Linked DNA regions of Drosophila melanogaster. The protein of the gene in region 1 purifies or fractionates together with the protein of each later gene. This does not show direct contact. Each region holds a gene or a part of one and is shown in the gene's direction. Other genes may lie near its edges. The genes, in order: Mlc-c and jar.

Region 1 (4,230 bases):
CCGCATAATGGTACGTGGTCACGTGCGACGGCAGTGTGACCCGGCCGCCCAACGCAGCGTCGTACTCCACCTTCTGTGTGCTCATCGGGGACTAACTAATTTGGCCAGGATCCAATGCATCCAAAATCAAAACAAATCGGCGGCACGTGTGGCGGTTTCTTGTGAAACGATCTGGCAGCACTGCTCGATTTCACTAAACTCCCTGCACTCATCGATGTTGTCGCACCTATCGAATTTCGAGTGGCCTATCGATTGCGCCCACTATCGGCGACCACTAACACCAACAACGTTTCAGAATTTGCTTGCGTTTTGTTTCGACGTCGAATTCAATATTCAATATTTCGTGTATTTTGTGTTGTTTTCCCTCAGATAGCTAAAAACAAATCGATATGGTGAGTGCAGGCTGTTTATTGCGGCGCTGTTTACTGTTTACGATCGCACTGGAAGTGCGCTTTCCGGCGCCTTTGGAAGCCAGCACTCAAGTTTCCTTCATTGTTTTCCTTTCTTTCCCCTCTCTCTCTCCCCGCAGGCAGCTTATACCGAGGATCAGTTGGCTGGTGAGTTGAATCGCACGAGGACCAGACGGGGTCAAGTACCAGGAGTCAAAAGTCGGGCAAATCGCATATATATATATATACAGATATATATATGTGTATAGTATTGATATGTGCGCTGGCACCTAGCGCCCTCTCCCTCCCACTCCCACACAGCATTGGAATGCGGGAAAGCGATGGCACGTACATTTGTGTGGTGTGCATGAATCATTGATAAAGCAAATACGCTGGAAGGCAGACGGCAGCCATACGAATACGATCGTGACTCACCTAAAAAGCGGCGAGAAAGTCCCAAAACCGAAACACTGCAATACCCTGTCCAAAATGCTTTAATTAAGAGCAGCTGTAGGCAAAGTTTGACGTGATGACTTCGAAAGACATCCGAGATCAAGCTGACAACACATATCGAAACTGTGCTACTTTTGGGCTTTGATCAGCAGATTATGTTCGTCCAAGGAATAGCTTCATAGAATAGCGACACACGGCTGTGTACCAAGTTTCGCATTAATATCTCTTGATAAATCCGAGTTCTTTCGGTTATCCGAAACCCACACCAAGTTAATTGATAATATGCATAGCAGGCAACAAACTTATTCGACCATCAGCTAGTTAGTTTCTGCCAACAAGCTAGTGCTAGTCTTAAGCTAGTGTAAACCAAGTTTGTAGGTCATCATAAGAGCAGTTATTGTAAGACAGAAACTGGTCGCTTATAATCATAACCAACACCTCGGTATGAGTACAAAAAAAAAAAAAAAACACTGTTTAAGCGAAAGGAAGTGAGCGATAAAATATAGATAACAGAGCGGTCTAATGGGATAATCACCCGGTTTTCTGACTCGCCGGCTGCTCGTTTCAAATAAAACTGCAATTGCAGTTGCAAAAACCGAATAGCCATGCGATAAGAAGCCAGTCAGTTGACAAAAAAAAAAAAAACCAGCTTCCATTTACGGAACATCACCTTCTCTCTAAGTAAAAATGCAACACGATTTCGATTCCATGGCGAATCAAATCGAATCGAATCTTTACGCAATCCCCTCGTTTAACCTAATCAAAGTCAATGGTCTCTGATAATTCCGTCATGCTGGATTCGTGACACTCTGACGTCAGCGTTCAACCGCATATGCCTATGTACGAGCCATATACCATATATTTATTTTCCAATTCCAACTTACCTTGTTGCAATCTTTAGCCAGCCGTCGACGTTTTGTCATTGCCTAAAATGGACAAAAATGTGCTGGATTCGTTTGTTTTTATTGCCATTTTTGGATCTCGTATTCGCATGATAACCGAACACATCCCAGCAATTCATCGAATGGTGAACACTCTAGTGCTCAGATCTTTAGAGGATCTGAAAACAAAATATTGAGCCCAACCACAATGTTCTATTTACGCACGTAGATCGCAGAACTTTTGCAGCTTGGTTAACTTACACCATCACTTGCTTAAATCCAACTGCACGCGAAATGGACTTGCGATGTCACGCCTCGAAACGAAAAACTTTGAAACTTAGGATTTCTGGGTTGTTTATCTTACTTGCAAGCAGGCAGTTCCCGGTAGAGAAACGAAGTTTGCCAGCGACGTGAGGGTATACCATGGCCAAGGAAGGCGGAGTGGTGGCTTGCATCGGAGCCGATCCGATCCGCTTCGATCCGATGGCCAGCCAAATCCGGGCAGGCGGAGTTTCAGGCAGTCAGTAGCTGGCAAAACGGTCATCGGAGTGGTTCAATATGTATTACTATACGGCGCATGTGAAGCAAACCTTTACCACACTGGAAGGTGATCCATTTAGCCATTTAGTGGGTGGTAGAAAGCTATAGTTCCCCCTCACATTTCCATACGTTTATATGTAGTAGTTATGTAGGTATTATATATTATATCCCTTATCGAAGGGTTCTTGTAAGTTGTAACGATAATAATTAAGATTTGTAAAGCATCTGCCAACAATCAGCACGCACTTTCCATTCGCAGAATTCCAGGAGGCCTTCAACCTGTTCGACAACCGCGGAGATGGCAAAATTCAGCTGAGCCAGGTGGGCGAGTGTCTGAGGGCCCTGGGCCAGAACCCCACCGAGTCGGATGTCAAGAAGTGCACCCACCAGCTGAAGCCCGACGAGCGCATCTCGTTCGAGGTGTTCCTGCCCATCTATCAGGCGATCTCCAAGGCCCGCTCGGGCGATACGGCTGATGATTTCATCGAAGGACTGCGTCACTTCGACAAGGACGCCAGCGGTTATATCTCCTCCGCCGAGCTGCGCCACCTGCTGACCACGCTGGGCGAGAAGCTCACCGACGAGGAGGTCGAGCAGCTGCTGGCCAACATGGAGGACCAGCAGGGCAACATCAACTACGAGGAGTTCGTGCGCATGGTCATGAGCGGTTAGGATCAGACCGATTCTAGCTGTTCAACTGTCCAGCGACACGACAATAGAAGCAACGCTATATCCAACACAATACAACACACCAACACTAAACACACCTGCCAAGCTACACATAGATGAGCCGTTCATTCCGCCAGAAGTTCCAACTCCGTGATTCCAACTTAGCCATTCTTACCCCGGCATTAAAGCATTCAAAACCAAGGACAACGACCAAGGATATCGAGATATAACAAATACAGGGGAAAGTGCTTAACACAAGCAGCTAATAACTGAAAACTAAAAACTAAAACTACGAGATTGGAGCTATTCCCACTTCCAAAATTAACCAACGATGTAGACATAGATTCATGATTAACCATAACTAATTACCGCGTCTGTGAATGTGCGTATTATTCTAAAATTGACACTAGAAGGTTAATCAGTAATTATCAACTAGTGCAGTCGTTCTTTTGTACCAATCACACTCGATACATTTATATATATATATATATGAATTACCATAGTATACTTCAATGGAAGGAAGGAAAGCCAGAGTATCACGAAAAAGTATTTCTAAATTAAAGCTGATATGCGTCGGTGGCGTGTGTCCGTATTTAAATGCGCATTTTGAAGTTTTACATGTTTATTTTTTTTTAAATAATTTAATATTTGTATTTAATAAATAATGAAATGAGATCCAATGAATGTGTAGGTCTTTTTACAAAAGAAACGTACTTAAACTATTAAACCAATTGAAACCTTAGCTCTTGTTTTTATTTCTTGTTGAAAGCGGATGGCAATCAAATAAATGGCTGCTTAAAATTACGACTGATGCAAATTTTTGAAATATTTAGGAAACTTAACTGAAATTAAGCAAATTGTTTGTGGTATTTTTTGCGAGCTCTTGTGCTCTGAGCTTTCGGACATTTTTAAACTGATTATTAAGTGAGAACCACTGCATACTACAGTATTTACAAAACAATATAATGTAGTTTAGCTATCAATAAATTCAATAAGCTTACTATAAAGTTTATCTAAAGTTATAGTCATTTAAATTTAGTATTCTTCCGACTTTAATACCGCGCTAATTTTCGCCAGTCTGGCAGCTCTGCTCGCTCGGACAAAATTATTTGTATACTTTACTTAATTGGCTGCATTCCTTAATTATTCGCCGCCTACTTAGTGGCTTTTGACCAAGTGGCCTGCTAATCCGAGGGAGGATGCCCCGGAACACGGAGGCGGGCGCCGGAAATGCGAATACCGGTGGATCCGGCGGAGTAGGCGGTGCCCCCGAGCCCAGTTCTCCGGTTCAGAAGGTT
Region 2 (4,846 bases), on another chromosome or scaffold:
GCTCGGATATATCCGACTGTTTATGTTATATGCGAAAAGAAGAACGGCAAACAAACGCCGGCTGCATGCGCACTCTCAGTGGAATCGATATGGAATCGGGAGAGCGGGTCTCTAATACCAAGATAGCAATACCCAGATACAACCACTTCAGGCGGACGAGGAGAAGGTGGAGATATGACTAACATGGTACGGAGCCACCCCTAGTCGTTTTTGGTAGCAAATTACACCGATCCCCGGCCACTTACGGGGAAAGCCTCTACCAATTTCCATTTGCACAGCCGCTTGCAGCCAGGTAAGCCAGGTAAGTGGAAACTCGAATGCCTCATCCGATGGCAGTCGTTTGTCAATCAGGCGATCACGATCACTCAGACCTACGCGCTCTCTTTCACTTCCAATTGAGCTGCGCTGCGACAGACAGACAATTAAGCGGGTATTGCAAAAATACAAAGAAATGGTCGCAGTTGAGTCTAGCGACTAAGAGATACCCATTCTTGTTCGTTGAGATACCAGTTTTCATCAGCTAAAAGAACTTAGTTTCATTAGAAAATTATATCTTATAGTTAAGCAAGTACACCAAGTAACTTCAACTTTGAAATCTAGTATTACAAAGTTAGAAGGGTTCAACCATACTTACTTATAACTTATAACTTACTATAGTTAGTAAAACACAATATACCCCTGCGACAATTAATAAAGACGCTCCTGATTGAGCTCAATTAATAAGCGGGGCGCTGACCCATTATGAGAGCGAAAAATCAAAGACGGAAAATCGTACGATACAATGGCTCCTATTTCACACTCGTTTCTCGTTCATTCGCTAGTGTTATTTATCTAAATATTTGCAACAAAGGCTGGCGGAATATTTGATCCCCAGAATGCATCCAGGTGGTGGTGGTAGCTGGTAAAGTTAAGGACAGGAAAATAATTAGTCACCTCACTTTTTATTCATTAAACAACCCCTCTTGGAACTTTTACAAAGAGTACGGGCGGTATGTGGGAACCAATTGTCCTGCTCCACGTCACTAAACTTAAAATATATAGGGAACAAGAATATGAGAACGCACCGTTGTGCAGCCATCGAAATCTATATTTTGAAAAGTTGCCAAATCTTCTTGCTTTGCTGAAATAATTATAGTATAGTACTGAGAACTGAGTACAACACTATCCAACATTCTGACGGATAAACCACTGCGACTGTGGACCAGTCGTGATGCAGGTGTTGCAGAAGAGTGAACCACTCGATAACACCGCATTCTTAACCCATTCCATTCAAACTTGGCCATTTTCGTTTGCATCTTTCATAATTAAACTTAAAAACAGCACGATCAGCGGTGAATCTTTTTGAAGAGTATACTGTTTATATATACTGATATGCGGTGCATCTTAAATTACCATATTCCAAGCTTTAAGTTTAGAACTGGCTACACAAATAGGATAAGTAAAAACTACTGCATCTACGAAAATGAGTATCTTAAAAACCCATCTAACCATTATGGATTTGAAAAGTAACGCATATTTAAAATTAGCGCCAAAACTAATCTCTGGTCACACTGCAGGGCAGATTTTGCGCCCTAACTATCGGCAGCGGTGGTGGCACCTCTAGCGGTCAGCTGTTTTGCGCGTGCTTGTTGTTGTTTCGGTGCCGTTGCTTTTCGAAGTCGAAAATCCAAAAGTGGATTGTTGTGGATTTGATTTCAGTTCGACTCGACTCTCCAACGCGACGGTACGCGATTCGAGACGCTCGTGCTGGTCGCCTTCCGATCGCCGCTTGAATCTTAAATCTAAACTGTTAAAACCGAGGCAAACAAACACAACACCCAGCTGAAAATACTTCAAGTGTTACAAACTTTTGGAAATAGTGTATCGTGGCTATAAATTGCAAGTTCTAAATTCGAACCAAACAAAATCCACGCAGGAGATCGATTCCAAGTGGATTGCGCCTTCATCAATGTGTTCGTGTGCGTCCCCGGAAACATAATCCCCATTTGCCAGTAACTTACGCACGTACAGATTTCCAGCCGTCTTAAGGTAAGTGGCCAATATCTCTCTGGAGGAATAGGGGTAAGGGGATAACCGCCTGACAGCGAGTGGTGGTCACCTGTGAAGGCGGATTTGCTGCCTTTTGCTTTCTGTTGACTTGCGCTTTTCGCCTTTCCGCCTGACATTGGCACATTCTTGTCCACGAAAATTGGTTACCTATGTACAATATGCCAGTGTTGCAAACAAGAAATCGATTAGCAATCGCGGAAGTGACTGCACCCTACATATGAGTACTTTCAACTGGGAATCGTTTTTTGCACATAAACTAAACCAAAGTACAATTAATCATTACATTTTATTAATTTCTATACCAAGTAGTTACATAGAATTTAGCTCTTTTCTGGCTTTGGTAAACTTATTCTAACCATGACTCATATTTGTTTTGTTTGCCCTCCAATATTATTAGTTCTCTATAGAACAGGAGGTTCAAACAGAAAACGTGACCGTAAATCGAACAAAAGGAGTGCGCAGTCGCAACAGCAAATGTCACCACCATTCCTGCAATTCCCACAGCTGTCCTCCTACCACGCATCCTCATCCACATCCCGCACCCACAACCATGCACCCTATTCCATGTGTCCATATGTGTGTGTATGTACATAATTCTATTTATAGACAGGGGCCCATGTCAACGTCGTCAGTTCACAGTTGTTGTTGTTGTGTTTTTAAAGCAAACTCAAAGATAGTTTTGTGTCCCGACCATTTTAATTGAGTGCGGAAATGAGCAAACATTTCTTGGAGCCACACCCCCCTCCCTTCCCTGTCAACCAGGGACACAAGTGTCGTTCTCCCCGATCGACTGACTGGCCGTCTGATTTCCCATTCGAGGCACATTTCGTTTATTTATGTGGAAAATAGGGGCAGAGTAGGAGCTGGAGGAGCAGGGATGTGGACGCCGCTCCTGCGCATGCGTGTCCATGTTTGCAGACGTGCCCAACCTATTCTGAACACTTTAAAGCCAATTAAACGGGTTCGTCGATACCCTTTCATGTGGCCAGGGTATCTATATTTCTCTGGGGGGGTGAGGAATGTTGTCCTTGTTCACGGGAATCGGTGGCTAGAAACAAACAAGAATGTTTATATGGGTGCTAAAACTAACTTACCTATTTGCATTTCCCTTTAACCAAGACATTTTACTTTATAATAAATATTTGATGGATTTATTGAGGTATCACTGTATCATTTCACCTAATATTCGCACAAGGGTGTCGCGCATATAATTCCATATAATTCGAGATCCTTTGCGGTGCACTGGAGGAAGTCCTGTTGTTGTCCCTGTGCTGGCTGTCACTCAAGCCCCGTTCAACCCCCTTTCAAACCGACGTGACCTCCCCCTCGCCGGGTGGCAAGCAATTCCCAACACGCGCCACACAGCTGACAGGATCGCAGGATCACAATCCTGATCTCCATTGCCGTCCATTGTCAGCGCCGACAGCTGCCTATATGAATTATATGGAACCTTCGACGGGTTATACAGATATGTAGCCCAAAGTTTCTCGAATGGAGGCAAACCAATCTTTTTGGAGTGGCCAGCAGTTGGGCTCGAGATGCGTTAGACCAATTTGCATATAATACAAAAAGAGAAACACTGAAACGGCCGACGATTGTTCAAAGATTCGCAGTGAAAGTCAGCCAGAGTGTGTGGTTTAATTGCAGCTTTTGTTTTGATAGTCGATTAGCATAATTCCAGTTGTATTTTGCTTCTATCGTGGCATCGTTGATGGATTTTTTATGTACATGCCCCTCTTGTTTTATTCATGTACATTAGTTTTTTTTGGTTTGTCCAACGCAACACGTGCTTATAAAATATTGGATCAATATATGCAATGAAAGTTCCGTTTCAGTTTCCTGTTCAAAAATATATCAACGGTGATTCAAACTATATATTCGGAATACAGTTGTAAATATGATAAGATAGCACTCATTTTTAAACACTAAATAAATAAATTATTTCAAGCTTAAACTTCAACCACTTAACTAATGTGAATCATGTATGATGATAATGATACGACCATTTTTATAGTTACAGTAACATTTAAATTCATAATCCATAATCCCATAATCTGCAACTTTTTTGTCAAAAAATTTTACTTTCGTTTGATTAATGACTGTCAGTCTATTTATAACTTTTCAATCGTTAAACAATCATTTAAAACAAAGGGACTGAAAATAGATTTGCATAGCTATAGTTTTCGATGGGAAAGAGGCTCGACTTTCTGCAATTTGCTAGTTGTGTGGCCAATAAATTTGGTTATATTATTCTCATTACAACGAAACTGAATTATATTTACCTGCTATTTATTTTTCTGCCTAGCGTCAAACGGGTAATTGTGCTGGGGAACTGAGATAAGATTAAGTGTGAAACGATAACACATATTTGGGAACACCACACACAGGCCGCCCAAAAAAACAAAGGCTGGCTAACACAAAGCCCCCAATGTGACCCAAAATAAACGAAGTGATCCATGCTTTTTTCCCCCATGCTCACATATCCGCCAAGTGCAAAGTAACGACTTGCAGGTCCACACCATATGGAAAATCTGTGAACATGTGTCGTGGAAAATGAGTTATAGGGTCGTCACACAAATCCATCAACGTCTGTAAAATGACTTGGTTAATGGCAATGGCAATGGGAATGGAAATGGGATTCGGATCTGGGTCTGGGTCTGGATGTGGGATAGCCAGCGGTTAGCATTTGCATTTTAATTGCATCTCCGAATTGTAGGAAACGAGCAGCGTTAATTGCCGTTTGGCTCACAGGAAAAAAAAAAAACGCTTTTCAATTGTCGGTAGTTTTCCGGCTTTT

Evidence for each region.
Region 2: the proteins of Mlc-c (region 1) and jar purify together in Drosophila melanogaster (affinity purification with western blotting, with the first as the bait; one study listed by BioGRID). This does not show direct contact.

What each region holds. Positions count from the first base shown.
Region 1 is NC_004354.4:5,618,579-5,622,808, reverse strand, and holds Mlc-c (myosin light chain cytoplasmic), read left to right. Parts: upstream 1-2,233; 5' UTR 2,234-2,281; coding exon 2,282-2,330; intron 2,331-2,522; coding exon 2,523-2,935; 3' UTR 2,936-3,673; downstream 3,674-4,230. Other genes in the region: POP1 ribonuclease P/MRP subunit, read right to left, coding at 1-85; RhoGAP5A (Rho GTPase activating protein at 5A), read left to right, coding at 4,132-4,230.
Region 2 is NT_033777.3:24,268,081-24,272,926, reverse strand, and holds the start of jar (jaguar), read left to right. Parts: upstream 1-1,693; 5' UTR 1,694-2,028; intron 2,029-4,846. UniProt on the Drosophila melanogaster protein: Myosin is a protein that binds to actin and has ATPase activity that is activated by actin. Together CLIP-190 and jar may coordinate the interaction between the actin and microtubule cytoskeleton.